3 linked regions of the Struthio camelus genome follow. The protein of the gene in region 3 binds, or shares a complex with, the protein of the main gene of each other region. Links are inferred from orthologs where the notes say so. Each region holds a gene or a part of one and is shown on either strand. Other genes may lie near its edges. The genes, in order: FLCN, LAMTOR3 and LAMTOR1.

What was found.
Region 1: LAMTOR1 (region 3) and FLCN share a complex: the UniProt entries of both Homo sapiens proteins name them as parts of the lysosomal folliculin complex. The link is inferred for Struthio camelus from reciprocal best matches to the Homo sapiens genes LAMTOR1 and FLCN.
Region 2: LAMTOR1 (region 3) and LAMTOR3 share a complex: the UniProt entries of both Homo sapiens proteins name them as parts of the ragulator complex. The link is inferred for Struthio camelus from reciprocal best matches to the Homo sapiens genes LAMTOR1 and LAMTOR3.

What each region holds. Positions count from the first base shown.
Region 1 is NC_090956.1:4,044,990-4,054,524, forward strand, and holds the start of FLCN (folliculin), read left to right. Parts: upstream 1-3,020; 5' UTR 3,021-3,226; exon of another isoform or gene 3,227-3,490; intron 3,491-3,914; 5' UTR 3,915-3,944; coding exon 3,945-4,193; intron 4,194-5,013; coding exon 5,014-5,160; intron 5,161-5,865; coding exon 5,866-6,087; intron 6,088-6,552; coding exon 6,553-6,713; intron 6,714-7,493; coding exon 7,494-7,585; intron 7,586-8,344; coding exon 8,345-8,535; intron 8,536-9,535. UniProt on the Homo sapiens protein: Multi-functional protein, involved in both the cellular response to amino acid availability and in the regulation of glycolysis.
Region 2 is NC_090945.1:27,875,283-27,884,817, reverse strand, and holds the start of LAMTOR3 (ragulator complex protein LAMTOR3), read right to left. Parts: upstream 5,430-9,535; 5' UTR 5,293-5,429; intron 5,189-5,292; 5' UTR 5,150-5,188; coding exon 5,141-5,149; intron 4,854-5,140; coding exon 4,819-4,853; intron 3,933-4,818; coding exon 3,874-3,932; intron 3,022-3,873; coding exon 2,888-3,021; intron 1,793-2,887; coding exon 1,729-1,792; intron 716-1,728; coding exon 642-715; 3' UTR 1-641. UniProt on the Homo sapiens protein: As part of the Ragulator complex it is involved in amino acid sensing and activation of mTORC1, a signaling complex promoting cell growth in response to growth factors, energy levels, and amino acids.
Region 3 is NC_090942.1:224,069,259-224,078,793, forward strand, and holds the start of LAMTOR1 (ragulator complex protein LAMTOR1), read left to right. Parts: upstream 1-2,830; 5' UTR 2,831-2,964; coding exon 2,965-3,006; intron 3,007-9,535. UniProt on the Homo sapiens protein: Key component of the Ragulator complex, a multiprotein complex involved in amino acid sensing and activation of mTORC1, a signaling complex promoting cell growth in response to growth factors, energy levels, and amino acids.

The sequences.
Region 1 (9,535 bases), on a different chromosome or scaffold from region 3:
GTGGAAGTGTTAAATATGTGATTCATAATGTTGTGGGCTCAAGCGCAAAGTTGGGTGGTAGAAGTATTTACGATCATATGCAGTAGTCACAGAAAGCACTGACAGTGACTAACCCCAAACTGCCACGTATACAAATATGTGGAAAGCTCGCCTTTTGTCACCAAGGGACCACTTGCCGGGGGAGAATGTATGAAGAATGTTTTCGTGAAGTTTGAGAAGAATGAGAAATGTCCACTTCGCATGGCTAACGTTTTGTAGCACTAGTTCCTATTAGTGAACACGGACGTACCTGCTGAGAGCTGTTGCAGTGGCTTTTGTATGTGTGGAGTTACAAGCAAACTAATACATGCAGCTGGCAAAGGGCAGCTTTTTTTTTTCTTTTTTTTTCCTCTTGCCAAAAGTAGGTAAAGTAAATCATACTACATGTCAAAAGGATGTAGAAATTGCTATGTGATAGTTTCAAAGCATTGCCCTTAAAAAAACAGATTAAGAATAGCAGCATTTATATATAATCTGAAAGTTTGAGACCTGCTAAAGTTTGTTTTCTGATGTGGATAATTGTGCTGCTAAATTCCCTGACTGCTGTTGAAAATTCAAAGTCAGGTCCCACCACTAGAGCTGAGTCGATGGAAAGCGTTCACCAAAAGTGCTTTGCAGAAGGGCTTCTAAGCAGGGGGGTCTGATAAATACGTTCAGTCTGGCATCTGCATGTCTTGAGATCCTATTGAAAGCAAGTCTTCCAGATTTTTAATGGAGTAGCTCCTTCAAGTCTTGGAACTAATAGCGTGGGGCTGTGGCCAGCTGAGAAGCTTTGAGAACACTTGAGCTTTCTGGTTGTAACTTCTATTCTACCAAAGCCCTTCCCTACAACAAATATAAGGCCACTACGTGCTGTGTTTATCCAAACTTAGGATGTGAGAAGTGCTAGTTCTTCCAGTCGTGCATGACCGCAAGGTGTGATCACAAAATACTGAGTGCGTGCTTTGATATCTAACCCATATTTTCATGCATCTTCATTAACTGCATTTTATATCTGCATTAATTAAGGTAACATGAGACTTGCAACTACACTTTTTAGCCACAGGAGGGATCTCCAGTTCAGTTATACGTAGCAGCTACTGATGTGGGATTTTGGGGGTTTTTTGTTTTGTTTTTTAAAGAAAGGGCTAGAAGTTGCTTGTATACAACCACCTCTCCTATTTTGGTGCCACTGAGGAGCACTAACTAGTGAACTTTGCTAATACATCTGCAGTATTTCCGTTGCGCCAAATGCTTTTGCGTAATTAAAGTTGCCTCGTTCTACACAAATTCCCTTTCTCTATTCTACAGTACAACTGCGACCCGTTTTGTGTGTTGTCATGGGTTTTCTGTATAACGTAGGAATTGTTTTCTGCATGGCCATACTGGCTGAGGAGGTTAGACCTGAGAAGCTGTTTAAATGTACTATTGGAAAATAAAGATAACAAACGAGTAATTCTTCTTAATTTGTCTTAAATGGCTGGCCTGAAAGAACGAGATAGTAGGTGTTTCTTATTTGGCTTTCTCTTGGCTTTTGGGGGGTTCTCTTGTTCTTGTCGCTTCTCAGGACAAGTGATGGCTTACAGTTGGTCGGAGGGAGACTCTAGTTGTTGTCTGCGCGTCGCCATGCCCTGTGGTCAGGAGTTGTTCAAGCTCTGTTGGTAGCTTTTCAGAGGTTTCCCGGAGTGTTTCAAGTAGGAATAGCTGGTTCCTTTTGTGCAAGCAGGCGGTAGGACCTCCTTAGGAAGAGCTGCTGCAGGCCCTGGTCCAAGACGGGCTCCAGGGTTAGATGGACTCTGGATCAAACATATGCTGCAAATGAGGTCTCTTTGCATTCAAATCTCATCTCTTGTGTTATGATCACCATCAGAATGATGAGTGCCATTTTCTCCACCAGAAGCATAACTCTTTAGTCCAAGCATGGCTGCTTGGATCCAAGGGCACATATTGTAGTAATCATTGATCTCTGCTATTTCGGAGGATTTAAACTGTCTGCAGCAATGCAAGGTGTGCTCAGCTGAATGGTCAAAAGTATATATATCTATATATTTTTTTCTGTTCTCGTGTGAAGAACAATACAACCCTCTCTCTGCCTTAGCGCGGTTTCCAAAAATGTTATAGATCTATGTTATTCCATGGCAGAAGACTTACCATAGTGCTCAGGTGTTCTAGGGCTCACCTACAGTGGAAGGGGAAGGGGGAGAATCTAGCAATTGATTATTTTAAAGCCTGAAAGGATAATTATTTCCCCTGGAATTTGAGGTTTATCTCTTCATTGCATTTTCCTAGGGATAAATAGTGAGCTAGTACCACTGCCACCACTAATGCCCAACTGGTGCAAGTGAAAGGAGGGGGGATGCGTATAGCAGGAGAGACTAAAACTGGCTTGTTTCTTTTAACTCGAGGTGGCTGCTCCCTTCCTCCAGGGTCTTAATCTGGGCCTTGCTGGGCTGACTTTCTAGATATAATTAGGGGAAAAAGACAATACTTAAAGGCTTTTTCCATTATCTGCCCTAATCTCGTATTTTATTAGTCTACAGCATACGTCGTACCGCTCGTCTAGGCTCTCTGCGCCCCCCCCGGAAGAGGAGTCCCCGAGCGCGGCTGCGTTCCCACACCGGCAGGCTGGCGGAGGCGAGCCCCGCGACCGCGCACAGCCCCGCGCCGCGCACCCGGGAGCCCCCCCACGCGCCTGCGCGCGCGGGGCGCCACCCCGCGCCCTGTGGCTGGCACGTGACCCGCCCTTTGGACCGCACCACCCGCGCCGGGCAAGGGCGGGGGTGCGGCGCCGGCTCAAGGCCCAGCGCCTGCGGTGGTGGCAGGGCGGCAGCCCGTCCCTCGCTCGTCTCAGGGGTCGGGGCTCTTTCTCGGCGCTGGGTCGCCCGGCGAAAGAGCCGGAGAGGGAAGGGAGGAGCCTTCGGCCAGAGCTTATCGCCCCCCCTACTTTTAGGGAGTGGTTCTGCCCAACGCGTGTGCAAAGGGCGGTCGTGGACCGAGCCATTGCCGAACCGGGGGGGGATGGGGGGAAGCGGCCACTCGGGGAAGCGGCCAGCAGGTGTCGGCTCCGTACCGGGGACGAGGAGCTGCCGGCGCCGCTGCGCTGCCGCGCTCCTTGCTCCTTGCCGCCCCTTGACGGCGGCCCGAGCGGAGCCGAGAAGTCATCTCCTTCCCCCTCCCCCTCGCCGTCGCGTAGGGATGGTACAGGCCGGTGGGTCAGTCAGTGTCAGGCGCGCGGAGCCACGGGACGGGCCGGGGCGGGGGAGCCCGGAGCCGCGGTGAGTGTGGGGGGGTCCGGTCCGGTCCGGTCCGGTCCGGTCCCGTCGGGCCTGAGGCGTCCTGGCCCGGACGGTCCGGTCCTCCTCACGCCGTCCGGCGGGGCCCTGAGGCGTCCAGGCCTGGTGGGGGCATCGGTCTGGCCTAGTCTCGCCCCCTCAAGGCCGAGGTGTCCGGGCCTGGTGCCGGCTGAGGGGAGGTCGGTCCAGGCTGGGGTGTCCGTGAGGCGCGGGGCCGGGTCTGCCGGGGGTCCCGCTTCTCTGGTGCGGGTCTAGCACCCCGGCGAGCAGCCAGCCCGCTGCCTGCTTGGCAGAGGGGTGACTGTGGATCTGCCCTTGCTCTGCTACGGTCCCGGCTGCGGAGCGGTCAGGGATGACGAAGGCCTGAGTTTGGTCTGCCCTGTGGGGAACTTGGTGTCAAGGCTTCGCTTGGGCAAAGAGAAGACACTCTGCAAGCTGCTGCTGGTGTCTTTCAGCATGGGAAAAATGGACTGAGCGTGTAGTCCCTTTAGCTGAGCTTAGCCCCACGATCTCATGGAGGAGCGTAGAGAAGGACTTGTGCCGAGGGGTGTTTTAGCCTCTGTTTGTTTTACTGATGTTGCGTGCTTCCTTGCTTTCCTGCAGGAGGCCTGACCTATGTGCTGAGCTCTCACTATGAATGCTATCGTTGCCCTCTGCCATTTTTGTGAGCTCCACGGTCCTCGCACCCTCTTTTGTACCGAGGTGCTACATTCACCGCTTCCTCAAGGTGCAAGCAGCGGGGACGTCTCTGGGCAGAATGAGCAGGCGGAAGAAGAAGAAGGCGGCATTCAGATGAGCAGTAGGATCCGCTCACACAGCCCAGCAGAAGGTGCCAGTGCTGACTCCAGCAGCCCAGGGCCAAAAAAGTCAGACATGTGTGAGGTAAGTGTGTATGCGTGTGTGCAGACATTGGTGACCCCTTGCTTAACTAAGGGGCTCATGGATTCTCTAATTCCAATTGTATTGCTTAGGAGGAAGAAAATGCACGTGACCTACGCTCGCATTTGTGTGTGACTGCCAGTACCAAAAGATCTTCAAGTCCTTAAAAACTGTAATAACCCATGACAGGATGTTAAGGAACTGTTTTGTGCATATAGGCTTTGGCAAGGTGATCTTTTGAGGACACTTTGGCCTATGTTACCTGATTCTCTGGTGGCTGAGAAATGGCTCGTTCATCCTTGAAGAGGACCTGCTTCATTACGTTAGGTCTGGCCGTAGATTAGTAAACTTTAACAGCAGCATTGAACAGGAACCGGGAAAAAATCCCAAAAGCAATTAAAATGATAGAGAAAATACATGTTTGCAGTTGTTCACATGCTTTTCTGAGCTACTTAAGTTAGTTACCTTCTTTTAGATAATGGCCATTTTTATTAGCTCGTTAGTTTCGCAGTTGCTGTTAACGTTGAACTGAATTAGATGACTTGTAGAGTCATCATCAAATCCCGGATCAAACTAAACAGTGGAAAAAGAGCATAGCAGCTGAGGAAATATAGCCCTTAGGATGCTAGTTGAGGAGCTGGGTTCAGATTTGGACCTTGCCTCAAACTTCCTATGTCCAGCTTACTCTTAATGAATATCTGCATTTGCATCTGTAAATGTAAACATCACTTCCCTACCTTTTGAAGGGAACATGCAGAGGGCTTTGAAAACCTTAGGTAATTGCATGCTCATTTATGGTTGGATTTTGCTTTTCTATCTTCAGGGTTGCCGCTCTCTTGCAGGAGGACATCCTGGATATGTCAGCCACGACAAAGAGACTTCAATCAAATATGTCAGTCACCAACACCCAAATCACCCCCAACTGTTCAGTATTGTGCGTCAGGCCTGTGTTCGCAGTCTGAGTTGTGAGGTAACTGGCTTGGAGTGCAGGGGGAGAATCTGGTTTGGGGCTTACGCATTGTTCTGAATCCAAGATACTGCTTCGTTGATCTTAGCCGCTCTGTGCAGCCTGAAACAAGGAAGGAATGGAGGTGGAAAGACAGACATAGAAGTCCTGTTTGTTCCAGGATTGGTGGGAATTTTCCGGGTTGATCTTTGCTAACCGGGGTGGGGGGGAGTTCCTTCCTCTTGCCTTGTGACACCAGAAGTTTCCCTTTATTGTTTTTGCTCCTATGCATTTATTGTTTTTCTTTCTGAGATAAACTGTGTTTGTAAAAATGTTGCAATCTGTTGCTTTGCATCAAGAAACGTTTTATCTTTGCAGACCGTTTACGTTCAGCATCTCACAGAAGGGAAGGGGAACCTTACGGATTAATGAGTGTTTGTGTGTCAGAATCAGCAATTCCTTGTGGAGTCTCAACGTGATTATAGTGGAGCAGAGCTGAATTCTTAAAATAATTTAAATGAGGGTCACACACTTGCAGGCTATCTCTGGAGGTCTGTTTGCTTATGTATTTTGGATAGCAGCCTAGAGAAGGCTTGTTTTATTCACCAGGTAACTTAGGCTTCATGGGAGGGGGTGTTAAAGAGCAGGAGGCTTTGTTCAAGCAGTTCATTAGTGTTTCAGCTATGCGATGTACTGAACTAGTTTGGTGTATGTGTCCCTTCCCTTCAGGTCTGTCCAGGACGTGAAGGCCCTATTTTTTTTGGAGATGAACAGCATGGCTTTGTGTTCAGCCACACCTTCTTTATCAAAGACAGCCTGGCTCGTGGTTTCCAGCGCTGGTACAGCATCATCACTATCATGATGGACCGGATTTATCTCATCAACTCCTGGCCTTTCTTGTTGGGAAAAATCAGAGGCATCATTGACGAGCTTCAGGGCAAAGCGCTCAAGGTGGGTCAGTGCGGGAGTGGATTTGGATCAACTTTATGGCAGTTGGTCTGCAGATGAATCAGAAAGCTAATGCAGCTCACTGCAGCCAGAGAGGTCGTTAAGGTTGACACAAGGGACAAGAGGAGAGTCCACATCAGGGCATAGGAGAGGAGGAGCAAGCTTCAAGTCGGTTTAAACCAGCTATAACGCTTTTCACAGCCCTAACTGCTAGACACTGTCTCCATTAGGAAATTCAAGTAGCTATTAAGATGTGAAGAACAACATTTTAGGGAGCACGGGTGTCACTTGATGGTAATTTTAGTCAGTCGAAGAATAAAGCGTCCCTTCCCTCTCTTTTCCCATAATTTACAACGTATTTTGGGTGACTGTATGTGATATGTCCTTTTCACTTGTTCTTTTGTCTCAGGTTTGCTTCAGCATTTTATTTTTTTCGGTCTCTTTTACTGCCCTTCTTTTTTAACACAGGTGTTTGAAGCAGAGCAGTATGGGTGCCCTCAGCGTGCCCAGCGGATGAACACAGCGTTCACTCCCTTCCTGCACCAGCGGAACGGCAACGCAGCCCGCTCCTTAACATCACTGACCAATGATGAAAACCTGTGGGCATGTTTGCATACTTCCTTTGCTTGGTAATGCCATTTATGTTTCTAGCTTCTGTAACTCCTTCAAGAGCAGAAAATTCTCATGTTCTGAAATGGTGGAAACGCGAATGGACTTTCCAGTTGGTTGTTCCTCAATTAGTAAGTTGGGCTTTGTGAAGTAGTCCCCGAATGAGAAGGAATTAAGCACAGAAAGAGAGCAGCCGTCTGGAGCCTTTAGGACAGAAGTTCTCTTGTTGCTGTGAAGTAAACCTATTAACGTGGTTGCTGATGGAAACCATGTCTATCTAGATGGAAGGACTCTGCACTATAAAAATAAGTACAAAAGAAAGCAAGAAAAGATGTCCCCAGCCCCATTCTGTTGTACCTGGGATTCACACCTGAAGTACAGTGGTTGTTCACCTGGAGGTGCCCGTGTATTGTGAGATACAGTGTGAGACGCAGCGTTTGGCGCGGTAGCATGTCTGTGAGATTCCACAGCACGTTGCTCCAGTGCCTGACTTGCTCCTCAGACTTCCCTGGAAAGATGCCACAGAGAGGGTTGCAACACTGGCATGTGGCTTGAATAGGGGGGTAAGTGTTGCACAAAGTAATTGCAAAATGGTAGGCCTTTCAGTGACTGGGTGGCTGTAGTTGTAAGATGCATTGATAGTTACAAACAGAGAAAAGAATCGAGAAGTGTTGAGAGGAACCACAGAGTGGTAGTGATCCGATATTTTGTTAAGCTCGTAGCACCAAGTTTCTTACACGACTTTTGTACCTAGCAAATGGGCTTAATGAGCGCTCCTCTCGTTTTTTCAATGTTTCTAGGCTTCTGAAAGCTTGTGGCAGCCGACTTACAGAGAAGCTTCTGGAGGGAGCACCAACAGAAGACACGCTTGTTCAGATGGAAAAACTTGCGGGTGAGACTAAACTTTCCAAGAAGAATTTGCTTGGAGAATACTTTGGGTGGTGAAATACCAGGTCCTTTCGTCAGCATGATAAACGCAGCCATCTCTCTCAGACTTTACCTTTGTGTTAGTCTGTGCAGTAGCTAGTGTGTTCTATATGGAGATGACTGACAGGAATGTGAAACCAAGGCCCTTGGCTTCATAGGCACTCTGCACGCACATGTGTTGTTCCCATTTCTGTAGGAGTGTTGCATCATCATGATTATTGTTCTGTCTGGCTGGGTTGGCTCTCCCAATGAATGTCTGTGGCCAGAAGAATTTACAGTCACAAGATAGGAAGCTTTCTCCTTTGTCATTTTTCCACAAAATTTCTAAAATTAAAGGATTAGAAATTGTTCTTACACTGAATTATTTTATTGATCCGTTTAGACTAGAATCTGGAAAGCTTTGGCTATGACCTTTAAAGGAAGACTAGAGAATGCATAGCTGGTCAAAAGATATGATGTTATGTGCTGTAGATGAAAATTCCTTCTTGACCTTTCAGTGGTTATCTTATATCTGAAGTGTGAAACTTGACTACACTTTTTACTTTAGGTCTATTTGTTACTAATGCTAGTATTTTCAGTTACTGTGTTTGCTCTACATCTGAACTCTGTCTCCCCACATCCAGCCAAACACAGTGGGCTGCAGACTGTGTAGGCACTTCTGAGGCAGTTCCCATTCCTGGAGAGCAGCGATTTTTTTTATGACCATTCTGCCTTTTTTGTCTAGACCTGAAAGAAGAGTCTGAAGGCTGGGATGGTTCTGAGGAAGAAGAGAAGCCTTCTGCCCAGACAGATGTTGTAGAAGGGCAGGAGCTGTCTAAATGTCCACCTGAAACATCTCTGATGCCAGATTGCAACAGCTGGAACGTAGCTCACCGAAGGTTGTCTGTCTTTCGCTCCCTCAGGCACATGAGACAGGTAAGAGGAGCACGCTTACTCTCTGGTGTATGCTGTGTTCAAAAGCTAATAACCTCTTGTCCTCCTGTGAAGTTTCTTTTTAAAAGATATATTTTTTTCCTACGGTCTGCACTTGACTTCTTTCCTGGTTCTGCGTGCTACCTGCTTTGCCTTGCTAGTTACATGAGTCCGCAAAGAAACATGAAGCTGGTTGATATTTGAAAGCTAGTGACGGTGTCAACTGCATCCCTGAGGACTCTTCCTGTCTCTGAGATCATCGTCCTTTTGTCTTTGGCCTCTAGTGATCATCTGTCATGTGGGAGATCGTCATATGATTTCTCTCAAATTCTGTAGTTGTGCTCTTCCCAAGAGCAATGACAAAAATTTAGTACAGAGATTGTGCAGCATCTTCGAAGCCAAGTTTTATTTTCTCATAATGAAAGTGTTTGAGAGGAAAAAATAAATCATTTACAAAGAAAACAAATGGTTCTGTGCAGATCTAGCTTTTCTGCAGCGCTTCCAGTTGCCTGGCTGAGGGAGAAGGTTCAGTGCATTTGTTCCACAGTCTCTTTCTCACCAGCTTGTTTTCCTGGACAGTCCTGACAAATAACCTCCCATGTTTTTGATTTTTTTTGTGCTTTCTCTCTCTAGCCTCCTTCTGTTCTCCTCTTTCTTAATCTGGTATGTTTGAAGCTATTACTGTTCCGCATTATATTGTAAATTTGTGCATGTGTAGGCTTGTCTAGGAACGTTGTTTCATCTTTCATGACTGGATCGCTGTTGTGAACATAACCCAGATCAGAGAAATACTTGAAAGGTTTTGCCATCTAATAGAAGAAGTTTAGTCCCATTTTGAATGGGCGTGTGTCCGTTTTACCAAACCACTAACTTGGCCAACAAGTGGGCTAATTCATGCAGTCTCTCCAGAGAGCTAAAGGATTTGGAGGAAGCTAGAACATAAATTATTGTTCCGTTATTGTGCTTAATATTGAATTGGATCTTTGATTAGGCATGCTGGCAA
Region 2 (9,535 bases), on a different chromosome or scaffold from region 3:
CCATGAAGTGAAAGACTGGGCACTTCTCTGGGCACTAGGAAAAGCCCTGAAGCAAAAGCTTTTGTAGGAACAGCTCTTGTATAGAAGCAGGATGCAGCCGACATCCAGATTAACAGAACTCCTTTTCCAGAGCATCACCAATCTGAGAAATATGGGGTATTTATTGATTGTACTGATATGTCACTGCTAGCAAACTTGCTTTCACAATATTCTTTTTCAAGCACATCTTTGATAACATTTTGTAACAAATTAAATGTTTTCCAGTATGCAGTGGTAGCTAGTCAGAGGATAAGTCCTGCCATATGCCTGATTCCCTGTACAGCAAACGATCTGTGAGTTGCTCATTTGCACCTACAGCATCATGCTGATAGAAACAGCTCAGCTGGCTGAGCTAAACTCCACGGGAGCTATTTTGGTGGTCTCTCCAGTACTGCACAATACAAGAAGTGTGGCCTAAATAACATCCATCTACAACACACTAGTAGATCATTTCAGATTCAGTACTATGTACAATTTATTCTTACTTAGTATACTAGGGAGATGTGGTATTTCTTCTGAGGCATGTTACTCGACTGAGGATTATTGAATCTTTCTGCCCACTGGGCTGCAAAGAGATGCTGAACTTGGGCTATGCCATCAGGTTAAGAAACTTCAACAACCTGCCTCAATTCTTCAAACAGGGGCGTGAGCTCCTTCTCTAAACTTACAATCAACCCTGGAAAGAGAAGAGACAGAACATCTCATTAGATCACCCCACAGCAGAAGCCTCTCTCCAAAACCCGCAGCTCCCTCCTCTTTGAGGCCACATCAGGAAATCCTTCCTGTACAGAACATTTCACTCCAGCTTCTTGCTCCCCAAGGGAGAGGCACGTGGCAACTGATCCTGGCAGCAAACCGAGGGCCCCCGTGCCCGTTCCGAGGTGCGGCCCAAGGCACAGGCACGAGCAAACTCACTGCAACGCAGCTGTCAGCTGTGCTGCAAACCTCCTCCATTAGTGCCCTGCTGTTTCCCAGAGTTATCAAGGGCCAAACAGCTGTACCAGAAATAAATCCCTTTTGCTCTCACTCTCTCCCTCGTTAGCCAATACCCTTGTGAGCAAATCCAGGTGACTCACTCCAGGGTTTGCCTATCCTAGAGAACTGAAAAGATGAAGCTGCACATGTTAATGCGGGACATAGCTTGCCCTGCATTAGTTTCATTACTGCGGGTGGCAATAACTGCCACTATTGATTTAGTAAGATACAGATGTTGCTTTCTGTGAAAACCAAGAGCGCACCTGCCCCAGAAGCCAGCCATTTGACAAGGGTGGGAAAGACAAGGCATAGAAGCCTGAAAGAGTAATTTAGAGATCGTTAGATTTTTTTTTTTTTTAAAAAACATTTGGTCCACTTCATGTGGCACTAACGGAAAGAGACCAAACAACTGGTTAATACGACACGATTGTTGCCAGTGCAGTGCATTCTCTCACACAAGTAAGGATAAAGTCAAATACAGGAGATGCAAGCTACTTTCTAACTGAGAGTATTGTCTTCAGCAAGTCACCAGGAATCTTCAGGAATTTTTACCCATGCATTTCCTTCCAGCCCCTCACAACACTCTTTCTGATAAAATTCATAGCAGGAGCAAAGTTAATATATCTTCAACTAAATTCAAGTAATTTATCTTCAATTATTCAAACATCTGGGGCTTAAAATGCCATAATATTTAAAGCATATCTGAAGACATACCGGTATTGGCATTGCTGCTAGCAATGAAACTTACTACCAAAGGCAAGCGATTGAACTGGACCACCTGCAAGGAAAAAGAATAATATTCAGAAAACAGCTAACACACCTTGCACTTTAGAGCTTTGCTACATAAACTCTTTCTGAAACAAGTACTCTCCACAATTTAAAGGGCAAGTAGGAGTAAGAACTGTAGAAGTGGCTTTTAAGCATATCTGTTTCATAAGATTCATTGTTAAAAACACTAACAGAGCCTTTACCACAGTACAGGAAGGTGTTCTTAGAAAGCCTGGTGTTTCCTTCCCTTTCATTTTCTTCAATTATCCACTTGAAATCAACTCAACTGCAAAAGCTACAGAACACTCTATGAAAATCACACACTCTACAGATGTCAAGAAGGCAGGCAGGTTTATTGCTTTAAAATGCTACTCAGCGTATAGAAATATTTCTTCTTTCCTTAACTGGGAGCTCAAACCTTGAGCACAACAATATATCAGTAGTGTCAAGAGAATCAAAGCAATATATTCCTGTGCATAAACTAATTCATTCAAAGCTGGACACAGTAGCCCAAACAGCTGATCAGTTTACTGCAGTCATACTAAAAAGCTTGCAAGACCACCAGGACTTCAGAAGGAGCAGAAACTTATTGGATGCTAGATTTCAGGACACAAATATAATATCTAGTCTGTAAAAATTGAATGGGTATTTCAAAACTTTCTTTTCTTGAAGTCTTATTTGCAGCAAGATTAACTGTGAAGTAAGCTGGATGTGCTTATTTGAAGTTTTTTTTTTTTTTTTTTAATAGGTGTCTCTGATCATAAACACACAAGTATTCATTTGTACAAGAGAACGTTAACCCATCATAACAAGTTCTGGAGGCCATTTCAACAGCACCTGCAGCAAATTGCTGGTTACTATCTGCTCAGGAAAGCTCACCAGTTTCAATGAGTAAATCTTCTCAGGTTTGATAAACAGGAAAGTAGCTCAACAAATATCGCAAATGTTTAACTTAGCTAGCTTTAAGTAGCACCAGAAATAAAACATACATAAGTATTTTAATAGCAGCCTATTGGAAACCTACCACAGCTTAAACCACCTTCCCTCTCCTTTCTCAATGTAGGAATTGCTCTGGCCAGTAAGAACAAGCAATGCTGTTCCTCACCTGGTATGTATTGTAGTAACAGATGATGCTTTTGTTTTTTGAAAGTCCTAGTTTACTGCCCTGATCTGTTGCAAGGGCAAAGGTGGACAGAAAGCCAGGTCTAAGTGCATGTTCTGGAGCATTATCATTGGCAACTGAAACAAAACATGAACATTTTTTGTTTTTACATGGTATCTATGACCGCATCACAAATCCTCATTCAACTTGGTGCTGTTCCAAATGTAGATTTGGTGTACAAGATGCATTATTTGTCCCCCAGCACTTCTGCAACAACTAACTGCTATGGGGCAACCTTCAAAAGCAGTATATAGGTTAACATTCAGTAAACGACCTGTGGTCGTTACACCAGCATCCTTCCTTGCACTCCTAAGAAACACTTTTCCTTTATGGAGCACAGTCTGTGTTAGTGCTGCTTTGGTTCAGCATTCTCCACCAGCAAGCATTCATTTGCAGGAAGGCAGGTGAAGGTACGCAAAATCTGCTTGGCACTTAAGTACTTTGGGACGTAAATATTTTCAGGTACCTGAATCTTTGCATTCTTAAACTATTCTACCTACAACGTATAAACATCTTAAACAAGAACTGCAGAGACATGATACAAATGATAGTGCCAAAAAAGCAAACCGAGTCACATAAAACCTGTAAGTTGGATGCAAATTCTTCTGAGCACAGATCAGAAGGTATTCAAGGTATTATGCTAACTAAACATCACTAACTTCCCTCCTAGCACCTTATAACAACCTGCAAGTGATCTGAAGATACAAACACCTTATACCATTCCAACCATGTTCACTGATGATGCAAAAGAAGAAAAGTCCTGTGGACTACATCATCAGGAACATTGCATAAACATAGATAGATGAAAGGATTACACAATTAACTATTAAAGCAAAAATCTGATATTCACAGATAGCAGCTGTAAACACAAAAGTCTGTCATTCTTTTACCCACCCCTTTGCAGCACACAGTGAGAAGCTGAAGTTTACCTTTGATAACAGGCACACCATCTCTATCTGATACTACAATAGCATGAAGACCTTCAACACTGCAGAAAACAAAGAAAATACACCTTTTAAAATGAAGAATAATTAGTGACAAAGAGTTTTTTTTCTGCACAAACATGCAAGAAAGGGAAGAAAGCAATACGGAAAAAATTGCTGCAGTAAGCTCTGCCTATCATGAAAACACTACTCAACAGGAAGAGACTTGTAAAATACATACTGCTCAATAACCACGGTCTCTTGAAAGAATTAAAACAGTGAGTATAAAATAAAAATACTGAAGATGGTGTGGAACTTTCAGCAGCAGAAAGAGGAATGTTACTGTAAAAGTTTCATTAGCCAAGCAAGAGACTTGAGATATAGTATATAGTCAATAAGTGCCAGTTTCACTGTGTTTGTGCATGATCTCCTGACTGCAGCTGTTTAATGATACTAGTAACTTAAAATTACCCCAAACTGAGTTATCAAGGACTTGGAGACTGAGTCACCAGGAGTGTTTTTTTCCACTTCTCATTGAGAAGTGATAAAGCATACTGGGCTTCCTTTCAAACGCACAAGTACAAGGTTAAGCTGGTTTCATCTTAAGGTACTTCCAGCTCACTTACACAACAGAAAAGTACACTAACCTTCGGATTAACCATGTCTCTTTAACAGCAAAAGGGATTAGTAATTGACAGTTCTCTCGAGTCAGATACCGCACAGACATCCTCTGGCACAGTTTAAAAACAACTTAAACGTTTGACACTGGCAGGCTAGATAAGGATGCTTCCAAAAGCCACCGCATTGTATTACCTTCACTGGAGATCCGAAACAAAACAAAAAAAAAACACCAAAAACCCCACAAAACAGCACCCCCAAAAACCGCAAACGCACCACTTGCGAAACAGGACAGGCAGCCGGCACCCGAGCGCGGTGCGGTGCCCACGTTACCTTGGCAGCTTCTTGTAGAGAAACCTCTTCAGGTCCTGAAGGGAGAGACGGCCGTCAGGTTGCTCCTCAGAGAAAGCGCACGCAGAACAGCGCCGCAGCCGGCTCTGCCCGCTGCCGGCGGCTCCCCTTCCCCCCGCGACCGCCGCCAGCAGTCCGGCGGGTCCGGCCCCCCCCCCTCCCTCCCTCCCTCCCCGGCGGCGCGGGCCGGGCGGCGGCCGTTAACGGCTGCTCGCGCGCCCAACCGCCGCCCCAACGGCAGCACCCCCCGCGCGAGCGGGCCCGGCCGCGGCCCCAGCCCCCCCACCCCAAGGCTCGCACTTACGTCGGCCATGGCTCGGGGCCTCCCGGCGCTGCTGCCACCTCCGCGGCCCTGCGGGACAACGTACCAACGGTCACCAGCGCCGCGGCGGCCCCGGGAACGGCGGGTGGCCCGGGTTGGGGGGGTGGGGGGGGAAGGGGGGGGGCAGTGCTCACCTGCCTGCGCAGCCGCCACCGCCACTTCCCCTTTAAGCCGCTATCACGTGACGACGCGGCCGTCACAGCCCCGGAAGCGCTTCCCCGCCGCGGCAGCGCCAGATTCGTCCCGCTGGCAGGCGCCGAGCATGCGCGACCGCGGCGCGGCTACGGTGCGACGGCGGGGCCAAACGCGGCCGCGCCGGCGGCAGGAGCCCTGGGGGCGGCGGAGAGAAGAGACAGCGCGGGCGGCCTTTCACACCGAAAATAAGTTTATTTTGATGCCAGTCCCGTGTTACATCAGGTATATTACAAACCACACAAGTCTTTTAAAACCTCACTCGTGAGCTTCGACTGCGCATTGGCAAAATAAAGTCCGTTTCCTGCTGGGGGACCCCTTTCAGTGCAGCCCCTTTTGCCAGGCTCCCGCTAATATTTGATTTTTCTTTTTTTTTTTCCGGAGGTCTCCTGCACTGCAGTGCTCGTCTACGAGCCTGAGCAGCCCCTTGCTCCGGGTTTCATTCCGGGAACGTCCCCTGCTAGGGAAACACTTCGCTTACTGGAAAAATACACTTTTTTTTTTTTTTTTTAAAGTGAATCGACTCCAGAGCTGTCAAAGTTAGGTGGGCACTTTTCACGGCCAGTGGAAGCCCTGCTCTGTGCAAACTTACAGTAGCACAATATAAAACAATCACAAATTTGAGGTATTAGCTGGAAAAAATCTGTACACCTATACACATGCGCATGCACAGTATTCACAGTGGCCCCAAGACCAGCAAACCTTGGCATCTGAAAGAAACTATATCCTGACCAGGGAAAGTATACATGCAAAAAGCTTTAAAAAAAACCCACACACTTTGCATAATCCTTAATATAAGGATTTTTTTTTAAACCATGCTTAGAAGAAATCAAACACATTGGAACAAATTCCTGTTGTTAACAGTGACAATGAAACTAAGAAGGGAGTCTGAAATTTCCAATTTCCCCGTAAGGATTACAAAATTCACCTAAGAGATTACTGCAAGATTAGCAGCTACTTTTCACCAACCAGCACAAAAACTTAAAAGATAGGGTTTTTTGGTTTTTTGTTTTGTTTTGTTTTTTTGTTTGCTCCAGCAGCTTTTCCTCCCACGCTGCCTTTGCGCCTACAGCTGGCCGAGGCCTGCAGGACACGCAGGGCTGCTTGGCCGATTTGCCTATTTCACCATCTGGGCAGAAAAAGCATTTCTGTGGCACCAACAGAGGTAACCAGAGGGAGGGAACCTTGTGCTTTTCTGTGCCCCCCTGGGGCTCCGACCTGAACTGGGATCCCCCAGAGCCCCTCGGGCACAAGCTGTTTAATTCCATTTAGGACACCCAGGACAATTCCAGACAAGATGCTGTGCTAGTTTCAATGGCAGCGGAATAAAAACCTCAACAACTATTGTCTGCATTCAAATACTTCGGGAAGTTGAGCTATTTTCATAGGAATCGGATGTTTCTTCTCTTGCAGTCAACACAGAGCAAAACTAAGGGTTCTGTTTTTCCAGTAAGCACCACAGCTCATCTTCTAGGAAGATCGGGGGAAACAGCACAGTTTTGGAGAATTCCCCCCCTCGCATCTAAGTTAAAGGAACAAAAACTGAAATGTCCATTTCTGCCTAGTATAGTTATGCCTAGTTTCACTTTTCCAGTGAGGCTCATCTCCCATAAACATACCCATACTTTTGGATCTTGTCCCATGCACCTGCAGACTAACAATTTAACAAATTCAGGTGAGGAAACAAAGCAGATTCATCCACTAGATGCTCACTGTATAAAAACAGAAACTGTGTATCTATCTTAAAACTCGTGCTGTGTCAGAACCTAGGACCACGGTGGTGCATTTCAAAGAGTGTTCAACATATAACAGTGCTCCTTCTCTGAAGGAGAGCTGCTACACACTGAGCACGGCTGAGAATCTGAAGATTTTGTCTGGATGACAATACTGGAGCTCAGGAAAAAAAAAAAAAACTTGACTCAAACTTGCTAATGTTTCTGAACATATAAGTCTTGTGAGGTCAAAAAAAAAACCCAAATAACCAGATACAAGCCAATTTTGCAAGGCACAGAGGAAAAGTTCAGTAATAAAGGGCAGATTCCTTTGCATTTTGAGAATCTATGCATCTTTCTAAATACAAGACACGGCAATTTAAAAAGGGACTTAGTCACACTAGAGCAACACTTAAGGCAATCCCCATAAAATTCTCATATGTGAGCTCCTGGTAGTATTTTGAGAATGTTACATGCAAAAACCTTGATTCATTCATTTCTTAAGATATTCCTCACCATACAATAAAAATATTTAAAAATGCAACTGGGTTGTTAAAATTTGGCAGCATCATCCTAAGTGATTGATTCTACTTCCTTCTCTGTCACACTAAGTACTGACTGAAAGCTGTGCAAGAGCATCTATGAGATGACTCCTGCATTTTAAAGTTATCAGCAATCTCGTCTCCAGTCCCAGTGACAGCCTATGTATACACAGAGCCTGTGCTTGCAAACCCTGCCCTGAGAAATCCTGAAAAATCTGACAGTCAAGCTTAATTCTTGCCAGCTTGGGAAGTCTCAGCTATCCCAGAGAACAGATATATGGGGAGGAGGGTTTATAATGGCATATTTCTTTCCCATATTTATTACATTTGTACTATTTGCTCTGAAAAATATCTAGATCACCCTTCAAATATGGCACTGCTGACAATGTTTTACATTTGTTATGTGGTACCTTTTGTCCAGGCTCCCTAAAGTGGTTTACAAAGGTGCATGGGGAAAACAAAGCCCAGAGATGAGTGATGCTTGCAAGATTATAGTAAATCCGTAGCAAAACGGCGATACAGCACCAGGGCTTGCGGCTGCCAGTCATCATTAATCATCATGACCAAGCTTCCTCTGGCAAAACTGACTGCAGTCTATTGAACAGATCTAGACAACTAGGAAGCTAGTACTTTTTTAAAATTACAATTTCAGGAATTTGCATATTGACTGGATTTCCTCTAACAAAGCATTTGTTTGACCATCCGATATTGCTTTCTTCTGCTGTGTTTGAAAGATCTACACTAGGAAAGGATGATGACGATTCATGACATTTATGGAGCAGACAACCTTAAAAAATGTATTTTTGCCTGGCCACTTTAATCCTTGTATTGCACTCATTACAACAGCATATTAAAAATGTCCATGATTTACAGTTGCCTCTGCTGCCTATTTAAAAGCATCCATTACATTTTAGTGACTATGTATTTTTATATTTCTTTGAAACTTATAAAAGAATTGAGACTGTTTAAAAAAAAAAGTCAAAAATTCAAATTTAATCTCGTTTTCCCTAAACAGGTAGAGAACTTGCAGGCAAATGTTCATCAGATGGGAACAATGAACTTGCTCATGACTCAGGCTGCTCCATAAATAGAACAGATATCGATGTTATTTCAGCAGATGCAAATCACCTCCCTTTTTTCATTATGGTATGTCAGAATCGCACGCCAAGATTTTTTACTTCTTGAAAGACTTTCCTACTTGCTCTTCTAAAGGAGAAATCAAGAACCCATGTTTGTCCTGTTTTTAATTCTAGATTAGACTAAATCCAAAGAATAAGCAGTTAATTCTAAGCAGCTGGAGAAGCTGAGGGGTTTTTAAGTGAGGCTGTTCAAAATCACAGTTTTGTTTTTCCCTTTTCTTTCTAGTATCTTAACTGTATGAGTACTTAACCTTTTGAAGAAAGGTCATCTGAAAAGATTAAAGTACTCCACTCTCTTCAGTTAGCACCTTCCTCATAAAAGGATTCACTCTGAACTTTCCAGCAGATTCCTTCAGCAAACCTGGGAAGATGACGACATTTCTGAAGATAAAAACTTTAGACTCAGGAACAAAGTAACAACTAGGCGAGAGAAGCACCCACTAGAAACATTAACAGAATGTTTATAGGCCATATTTAAAGCAAATTAATATTTATGTTACAGGAAATAATATCATCCTTCTACATTCTGCATGCTACTGCATATTCAAACTCAGCAACTATTTAATCTGTTAAATGTGAAGTAGCATTTTTCCACCAGTTTAAACATATTAGCTGTTTCTTCTTTTAAAAGAGTTATTACAATAGATAATCCAAAGAAACCTAACAGCCTATGTCTCACTCGTAACCTACTGGGACGTCTACGTCGCTACAGGACACAGGCATTGCGTTATTCCGGTCTGCAGAAATACTAATAGCGATCTAACCAGCATAAACCTGCTCAGCAGCAGTTCA
Region 3 (9,535 bases):
GACGGCTCCTACCTGTCCGTCCCGGGCGGCGGGCAGGCCGGGCCGCGCGGCCCCAGGCCAGGCTCGCCAGCGCCCGGCCGGCAGCCCCTGCGCAGCCCAGCTCCCCGCTCAATTATTGATGGTGTCACCTTAGCCGCAGCCGGCCGCCGGCTCCGGTTACCGAGCTGGGGCGAAGCTGGAGCCGGGGCCCTCGCAGGGGCTGCGGGGGGAGGCTGCACCTGGGGAGAGATGGGTGCAGGAGGTGGAGGGATGGGTGCAGGAGCTGGAGGGATGGGTGCAGGAGCCGGGGGATGGGTGCAGGAGCCGGGGGATGGGTGCAGGAGGTGGAGGGATGGGTGCAGGAGCTGGGGGATGGGTGCAGGAGCCGAGGGATGGGTGCAGGAGCCGAGGGATGGGTGCAGGAGCTGGGGGATGGGTGCAGGAGCCGGGGGATGGGTGCAGGAGCTGGGGGATGGGTGCAGGAGCTGAGGGATGGGTGCAGGAGCCGAGGGATGGGTGCAGGAGCTGAGGGATGGGTGCAGGATCCGGGGCATGGAGGCAGAGCAGTGCCAATGACACCTCATCCCCGCATCCCTCCAGCGGCCCTGCGTGCATTCGGGCGGCGCGGGCGCTGCTCAACGGCCGCCTGCACCCGAAGGCCGCTCGGCCGCGCCGGGCTGTGCAGGGCGCAGGTTGGCGCCGTCCCGTCCGCCTGGCGTCAGGCACGCCGGCGCCGCGCCGATTCCCAGCTGGCAGCTGCCGCCGCGGGACGGCGCAGGGCAGGATGGCGACGCCGGCGCTCCCGACGGCCCGGCTGCAGCGGCTCCGGGGACGCCGGTGTGCCTGGCATGGGGCACCCGGTGCGGGGTGCAGGGTGCCGGGAGCACCAGGAGCAGCAGGAACTGGGAGCACTGGGCGCAGGCAGCACCAAGCCCTGGGAGCACTGGGTGCCGGGAGCACCCGACACCAGGAGCACTGGGTGCTGGGAGCGCTGGGAGCACCAAGCCCTGGGAGCACTGGGTGCCGGGAGCACCAGACACCAGGAGCACTGGGTGCTGGGAGCACCAAGCCCTGGGAGCACTGGGTGCCGGGAGCACCCGACACCAGGAGCACTGGGTGCTGGGAGCGCTGGGAGCACCAAGCACTGGGAGCACTGGGTGCCGGGAGCACCAGACACCAGGAGCACTGGGTGCTGGGAGCACCAAGCACTGGGAGCACTGGGTGCCGGGAGCACCAGACACCAGGAGCACTGGGTGCTGGGAGCGCTGGGAGCACCAAGCACTGGGAGCACTGGGTGCCGGGAGCACCAGACACCAGGAGCACTGGGTGCTGGGAGCACCAAGCACTGGGAGCACTGGGTGCCGGGAGCACCAGACACCAGGAGCACTGGGTGCTGGGAGCGCTGGGAGCACCAAGCACTGGGAGCACTGGGTGCCGGGAGCACCAGACACCAGGAGCACTGGGTGCTGGGAGCACTGGGAGCACTGAGTGCCGAGAGCACCAGGGACTGGGAGCACTGGGTGCTGGGAGCGCTGGGAGCACCAAGCACTGGGAGCACTGGGTGCCAGGAGCACCAGACACCAGGAGCACTGGGTGCTGGGAGCGCTGGGAGCACTGAGTGCCGAGAGCACCAGGGACTGGGAACACTGGGTGCTGGGAGTGCTGGAAGCACCAAGCACTGGGAGCACTGGGTGCCGGGAGCACCCGACACCAGGAGCACTGGGTGCTGGGAGCGCTGGGAGCACCAAGCACTGGGAGCACTGGGTGCCGGGAGCACCAGACACCAGGAGCACTGGGTGCTGGGAGCGCTGGGAGCACCAAGCCCTGGGAGCACTGGGTGCCGGGAGCACCCGACACCAGGAGCACTGGGTGCTGGGAGCGCTGGGAGCACCAAGCCCTGGGAGCACTGGGTGCCGGGAGCACCCGACACCAGGAGCACTGGGTGCTGGGAGTGCTGGAAGCACCAAGCACTGGGAGCACTGGGTGCCGGTAGCACCAGCAACTGGGAGCACTGGGTGCTGGGAGCAGTGGAAGCACTGGGAGCCAGGAGCATGGGCCCCACGTTGGCCCATGCCCTGGCGCTGTGGGGGGCACGTGTGCAATGCACACACACGTACACAGCCAGGCACACGGGGGCAGCGCACGCACACACTCACGTGCGCCTACCCACGTGCCCACCCCCACGCCCACGTGCGGTGTGCACATCCATGTGACCGGCCACAACCCTGCGTGGCACACCCCCACGGGACACCCCCATGCCCATGCACAGCGGGGGGGCCACGTATGTGCAGTTCACCCCACCCCGGGACCACGCACACACCCCGGACCCGCGCGCACACACCCACGAAAGCACACACCCACTGCAACAGGCGTGGACAGTGCGCGTTCCCGTGTGCCACACTCGCACCCCCGTGACTGTGCGCGCGCGTGCAGCGCGCCCTCCCGGGACACCACGCACGCGCCTGTGCCGTGCCGTCACCCCCCCGTGGCAGCGCCCACGCGCGAGCCCGCCACGCCAACCCGGAAAGCGGCAAGACCGCGGCGTCCACGTGACGGTGCCCGCGCGAGACCGGCGCAGGCCCCCCACGTGACGGCGCCCACGCGCGAGCTCGGCCCGCGGCGGTCACGTGTCGGCAGCAGGCGGCTGGGGGGGTGGGGAGCTCCCCCCCACCGCCACGTGCTCTCCGCTTCGCGTGCTGATTGGCTCCCCCGCACGTGACGGCGCGCCTTTAGCTGCGGCGGGGGGGGGGGGGGGGGGTGTGCTCCCGTTCGGATTGGTCCGCCTGCCCACGTGACGCCGGCTGGGCCGGGATGGCGGGTCACGAGGCCGGAAGCGGCAGGAGGGGAGGGAGGGAGGCGGCTCCGCCCCCGCCCCCTCCGCGCGCTGCTGGCGCGCGGCCGCCGCGCTCACGTGACCGGGGCGGCAGGGCCCCTGCCGGACACCGTAGCGGCGCCGCGCCCGGCCCGGCCCTGCTGCGCCTCGCCATGGGCTGCTGCTACAGCAGCGAGGCCGAGGCCTCCGACCAGGTGCGGGGCGGGGGCCGGGGGGGTGTGGGGTGTGGGAGGGGGAGGGCAGGGGGTGTCAGTGGGGCGGGGTGGTGTGGGGAGGGGGGAGCTGGGGTGTCAGTGGGGGGGAGGGGAGCTGGGGGGTGACAGTGGGGCGGGAGAGGTGGGGGAGGGGGGAGCTGGGGTGTCAGTGGGGCGGGAGAGGTGGGGATGGCAGTGGGGCGGGGGGGAGGGGAGCTGGGGGGTGGCAGTGGGGCGGGAGAGGTGGGGGAGGGGAGCTGGGGGGTGGCAGTGGGGCGGGAGAGGTGGGGGAGGGGAGCTGGGGGGTGGCAGTGGGGCGGGAGAGGTGGGGGAGGGGAGCTGGGGGGTGACAGTGGGGCGGGAGAGGTGGGGGAGGGGAGCTGGGGGGTGACAGTGGGGCGGGAGAGGTGGGGGAGGGGAGCTGGGGGGTGACAGTGGGGCGGGAGAGGTGGGGATGGCAGTGGGGCGGGGGGGAGGGGAGCTGGGGGTGACAGTGGGGTGGGGGGATGTGGGGGGAGGGGGGAGCTGGGGTGACAGTGGGGCGGGAGAGGTGGGGATGGCAGTGGGGCAGGGGGGAGGGGAGCTGGGGAGTGACAGTGGGGCGGGAGAGGTGGGGATGGCAGTGGGGCAGGGGGGAGGGGAGCTGGGGAGTGACAGTGGGGCGGGAGAGGTGGGGATGGCAGTGGGGCAGGGGGGAGGGGAGCTGGGGAGTGACAGTGGGGCGGGAGGGGAGCTGGGGGGTGACAGTGGGGCGGGAGAGGTGGAGATGGCAGTGGGGCAGGGGAGAGGGGAGGTCAGGTGGTGACAGGTGGGGGGATGTGGGAGGAGGGGAGCTGGGGTGTCAGTGGGGCGGCGAGCTGAGGGTGGCAGTAGGGCGAGGGGAGGTCAGGGGGTGACTGGGGCAGGAGCTGGGGGGGGTGACAGTAGGGCGGGGGGGCTGGGGGGTGACAGTGGGGCGGGGGGGAAGGGGGGCTGGGGGGGTGACAGTGGGGCGGGGCCTGAGGGAAGGTACCATGGGGGTGGATGTGGGGTGTGTGAGGGGGAGGGGAGCTGGGGGTGACAGTGGGGCAGGGGCCTGGGGGAGAGCACTTGGGGTGGCGGTGGGGCAGGGGGACATGGATAACAGTGGGGTGTGGGGAGGGGAGCTGGGGGTGGCAGTGGTGCTGGGGGTGTGTTTGGGGGGGGAGCTGGGGGGTGACAGTGGGGCAATGGGATGTGGGGGGAGCTAGGTGTGACAGGGAGCCAGGGGGCTGGGGGAAGGTGCCATGGGGGGGTATGGGCTGTGTGAGGGGGAGGGCAAGGGGGGGCAGTGGGGGGAGGGGAGCTGGGGGGGCAGTGGGGCAGGGGGATGTAGGGGGGAGCTGGGGGGGCAGTGGGGCAGGGGGACAGTGGGGTGGGGTGATGGGGGGGGAGTTAGGGTGGCAGTGGGGCAGGATGTGGGGGGAAAGGAGCCGGGGTGACAGTGGGGCAGGGGGATGTAGGGGGGGAGCTGGGGCAACAGTGGGGCAGGATGTGGGGGGAAGGGAGCTGGGGTGACAGTGGGGCAGGGGGATGTAGGGGGGGAGCTGGGGTGACAGTGGGGCAGGGGGATGTAGGGGAGAGCTGGGGCGACAGTGGGGCGGGGGGACAGTGAGGTGGGGGGGAGCTGGAGTGACAGTGGGGCAGGATGTGGGGGGAAGGGAGCCGGGGTGACAGTGGGGCGGGGGGACACGGGGGCAGTGGGGCGGGGGTGGCGGGAGGGATGGGGGGAGGCCGGCCAGTTAGTGAGCCTGGGCGGGGGAGGGAGGCCGGTGAGGGGGGGCCTTGGGGGAAGGGGCACGTTGGGGGGCATCAGTGGGGTGACAGCGGAGGGGGTGCTGGCGTGAAGGTGGGGTGCTGCTCGGTGGGCCTGGGTGGGGGGGAGCGGCAGTGGGGCGGAGAGCTGGGGGGGGCCCGGGGGGCTGAGCGCTGGGGCAGGAGGGGTGTCAATGGGGCAGCAGGCGGGGGGGGTTCGTTAGGGCGCCGGTGGGGCGAGGGTGTTTAGGGAAGGGGCTGAGGAGAGGCCCTGCGGGATTTCGGGGCTCTTGCCATGCTCTTGCGGGTGACGCCGGCGCGCCGCTGCCGTCCTCCGCCTGGCGCCGGGGGGACGGGGAAAGGGGGGGAGTGGCCTGCCCTGGGCAGGGCTGGGGCTCGGTCTGCGGAGCCGCTTTTGGGGAAGGCTTGCGGGAGAGGTGTCGCGACCCCTCAGGTCTTGCAGCCAGGCGCCGGGCCCCTCCGTGGGGAGGGCTGCGCGGCGGCTGGGCTCCGACGCGCCCTCCGAGGCAAACGGAGGCCACGGCTGGGACTCGTCCCTCTGGTTCCTTGGCCTCGCCGGCCTCTGGCTGGGGCAGAGGATCTGCTGCGGCCCTCTGGCTCGCGGCTTCCTCCTTCCACACAATAGGAAATGGGCCGGACTTTTGTTTTCGGAGGAAAGGTTTGGCCTTGATGATGTTTGTCACGTGGTCGGAGCAGGGCGCAGGGCTCGGGGGACTGTTTGGGCTGAGGCCCGGCCTCTCCGGTAAAAGCTGTTTGCAGGTTCCCCCCCTCACCTGACCCCATCCTCTTGGGTGCCCTTCTCCCGAATCCAGCGCAGGCTGGTGGCAGTCGCCGCTGGGCTGGTGCGTGGGCTCGGGGCGGTGTGGCGCCCTCGATGGCGCTCTCAGGAGATGGGTGCTGCCTTCAGAAATCCCACGTGCACAAATAACAGCCAGCTGTGCCTTAACCTGCTGGTCCCGAGCGACAGCATCGCGCTGACCGAACCGAGAGGCTGGCTTTGGTGCTTGTTCCTGCAGGTGGTGCTTGTAGCGCGGGCTTGAAGGCGCCGGTAGGCTGCGGTGCCTGTGTTTCGGGGGGAGTCTTGCTCTGGAGGGAGTCTAGCTTGTGCATCGAGAGCTCAGCGCGGAAGAGCTGTTTAGCTGGCGCCGCTCGCAAGAACAAAGCGTTTGCTGGAGAAAGTCGGAGAGAAGCACAGCTCTTCCCGTGTGCTTCTGGGATTCGCTCCTCCTTACGTTCTTTGGTCTTTCCTCCCTTTAACGTAATTCCTGAAAGTCCTGAGTACGAGTGAACTTGGGCACGCGGCTTCAAAAGGAGCGTTTATTGCGTTCATCAGCTGGGGGAGATGCAGGCTTCAGGCTTGCTCTGTGGTAGTGGCCACGAAGCGTCTTTGCCGCAAGGGAGCTGAAAAGCAGCGTGGGGCGACTGTAGCTGAAAGGCAGGCTTGCGTGGGTTGTTGTGGGGCCGTGCGACGCGGCTCTGCGTCTGGATGCCTGCTGGAGAAGGTGCTGCGTGTTCGCAAGCGCGTCGCTGCGAGGAAGGCGAAGAGTCGGGGAGAGCGTGGTGCGGGGTGTCCTGCAGCTCGCGGGGAGGAACAGCCCCGTTCTGCGGGCTGCGAGGCCGGGGATGCCCTTCCCTCGCGCTCGGGAGGCGCCGCAAGGGACCCGGCTGGCTCGGCCTGTGCTTTCTGCTGTGAGCCTCCCCCTGGAGAGAGGTGGCTCGACTACGTTGGGCAAACCCCGCGAGGAAGGAGGATTCCGGAAATGTAGATGTCCGGGTCCCCCCACCGTGAAGGTGAAGGACGCGGCCGTTTATCTAGGCTTGTGTCGGCGAGGGTGGAAGGAGCAATGCGAGGTCCGCAGGTGAGGAGCGCCCGGCGCGAGCGTGGCGTAACGTCGGGGCTGGGTAGGCTGCCCCGATGCTGCCGCAGCGCGGGCTCCTCGGTGGGCTCGGGCAGGGCCGTGACGTCCACGCTGATATTCCAGAACTTGCAAATCCGCTCCGGCAGCGTCCCTCGGCTCTGAATCCAGGCTGTCGACGTGGTGCAAATTACTGCCTCCTTCTGCTGTAGGCGTACCGCCCGCTCGGGGCGGAAAGGAGGCCGGGTGGCTCCTCCGTCTTGAGCCTTCCACAAGGCCCGGCGGGCCAGAGCTGCGCCTCGGAGCGGGCTGCAGCTCAGGCCGCCTCTCGTTGCGCCGCTCCGGCCTTCAGGCGGCCTGCGCCGCGGGTCGATGCGGTCGGGTGGGATCCAAAGGCTCTGGAGCTGGCGGCGTGGCTGGGATCCCGAAATCGTAACCCCAAAGAAAGGGCTGACCGCAGAGCCAGCCTGCTGCTCCTAATGATGCCGCGCGGCCGCGGGACTCGCTGGCTGCTCCTAGGCCTCTTGGGTCTGCGATGAGCTTTCTGCTCTCGAGTCCTGCCTCGGAAAGCAGACGCTTAGCGGTAACGTAGCGGAAACGTTCCCCTCCTGACACTGTTTTCCCTGGCTGACTAAACCTCGCCATGAGAAGTCTCTCGCTGATCTGCGCTCGCGGTCTTCCCTAATTTCCTTGCTTCAGCTTTGCGGATTCCCTGTGGAAGCGGCTGTGGCCAAGCGCTTGCCCCTTGTCACGATAAGAGTCAGGGTGGTTTAACTCGCTGATTTATGCCCACCTCCTCGGGGCGCCTGCCCCCCCGCGCAGAGTGGACGGACCCCTCTGCCCTCTCTCGCCGCCCCTGGCTCTGCAAGCTCGCGGCTGGTTCCTCTTGTCGGATGACAGCACCGCCTCGGAGGCAGAGCGCTCCTCTTGCCTGTAATCCTCTTCGGGGCATGTTTTCCTTGCGCTTCTCCCGCTGTCTAAGCGATGGCAGCGGGAGCGCGGCCTGCAGGGTAGGCGGAAGGGCCCTGGTGCAGCCAGCAGGTCACCTGTAAGATGAGACCCCGTCTCGGCACTGCTGCCGCAGCGCTCGGAGCCGCCTTCGGACTACGGATGTCGGCCCGAATCCACGAGTAACGTCTACAGCTGTCACGGCAAAACGCGTCTTGGCGCTGACAGCACCGGTGTCAGGCTTTCCTTTCTGGGACAGGGCGGCTGTGCCTGCTGCCGCCTCTGCTGCTGAGCAGCTCCGAGTGCCCCCAGGCAGAAACTTAATCCGCTCCCCCTTTCCCTGCCGGAGAGCTCGCCCGCGGCAGCCTGGGCTGAGCAGCCCCCTTCCCGTGCCTGGCCTAGGGCAGGGAGGAGAGGGCCGGTGCTGGACGTTTGCACCGGCGTTTGCCCACAGGAGGAAGTGAAGAGAGGCAGATGTTGGCCAGGGAGGAGCTAAAGACGGGCTGCTGGCGGGGAGCAGCTTTGCGAGGCCCGGTGCGGGGCCGCGGCTCCCCGCCACGAGGGGCGAGGGCTCGGAGGCGGCCGCCCGCCCCGCGGCGGGAGGGAGGCGAAGGCTGCCCGCCGGCGGGCTGGTGGGACGCGCGGCTGTGGCTGCGGCGGCAGCTGACGCCCGGCGCGCGCCTGCCCTCCGCTCTCCCTTCTCGCCGAGTCCGGGGCAAACGCCTCTAAAACGAAACCAAAACGCGGAGGGGTGGTTCGCGCGCCCGGTGCGTCAGTGACAGGGTGCCCTGAGCGGGGAAACACCCGCGCGGTCGCCGCCTCCTCTCCCGGCAAAAGCCGGAGCGTCTCCCACAGCGCAAATCTTCCCGTTGTGCTCTTCCCTCTGCCCGGGGGCTCGAACCCTTTAACCGCCTGTCGGTGGGCGCGTGGCGCGCCCGAGGGCCCGCGGCCTTGCGGTGTGGGGCTCGTGGGAGGCTGGCGCACGAGGCGCGCTGAGTTATCCAGCGTGGCGCTGGGATCAGCGTCGGGCGCAGGCACGGCAGCGTCTCCGGCGCCCGGAGGAGGCCCGCAGGGGCGGTAGCTGTTGTCTGCAGCGGCCGGCTGCTGGTTTTCGGCTGCGAGTCTTTTTAAAATTAGAAATCCAGGTCATCGGAGCCAGGGTGCGCGCGGGCAGGAGGAGCACGTGCTTCTGTAACGGCACGGCGGGGCACTGAGCCGGGAGCAGAGCTCGTCCGCTAGCTCGAGAGGGGGATGAGAGCCGAAGGCCTTGAGTTAAGTTTGGGGCAGGCCGGTGCCGGCCTGTCCTGCCAACCCTGCCGGAGCCGTTAAGTCACGGGAGAGGCTGCTCTGTGCCAGCTGCCCGCCGTCGCTGGCCGCTCTCGCAGCGGAGGTCTCCTGGGGGCTGCCTCGGGAGCCCGAGCTCACGCTGGCACCGGCGTCAGGACGCCGACCTGTGTCCCTGTCGCCCAAGAGAGCCGCTGCGGGCGCAGGGCCGGAGGGAGCGGGGAGCCCGGCAGCCGCGGCACGTTTCCCTCTCCCTCCCCGCCAGGCACCTGCAAACCTCGCAGGCTGAGCGTGATCCGGCCTGATCCCGCCACGCGTGGATCCAGGTGGTGGAAAACGACCTTGCGAAAACCAAGCGGTTTCTGACTTAGACGGGTTCGCTGACCCAGCTGACGCTTCAGCCCCGCGTGCAGCCGTTTGCCGCGCTCCTGCTGTGCGCGGGGTGGGAACGAGCGCTGGGGAGACGCCGTTCTCCCGGCCAGGGTTGCAGAGATGATGGTGCGGAGCTGCTGGCTGAGGCTGTCGCGCACCTTCAACCCCGAGCAGACAGGCTCTTCGCCCAGGAGCTGGGAGGTGGTTCCCGTGCCCCTTAAAGGCTGGGGAGATGGCGGCGTGGTGATGGGTCCCCTGCGAGGTCTGGGGACACC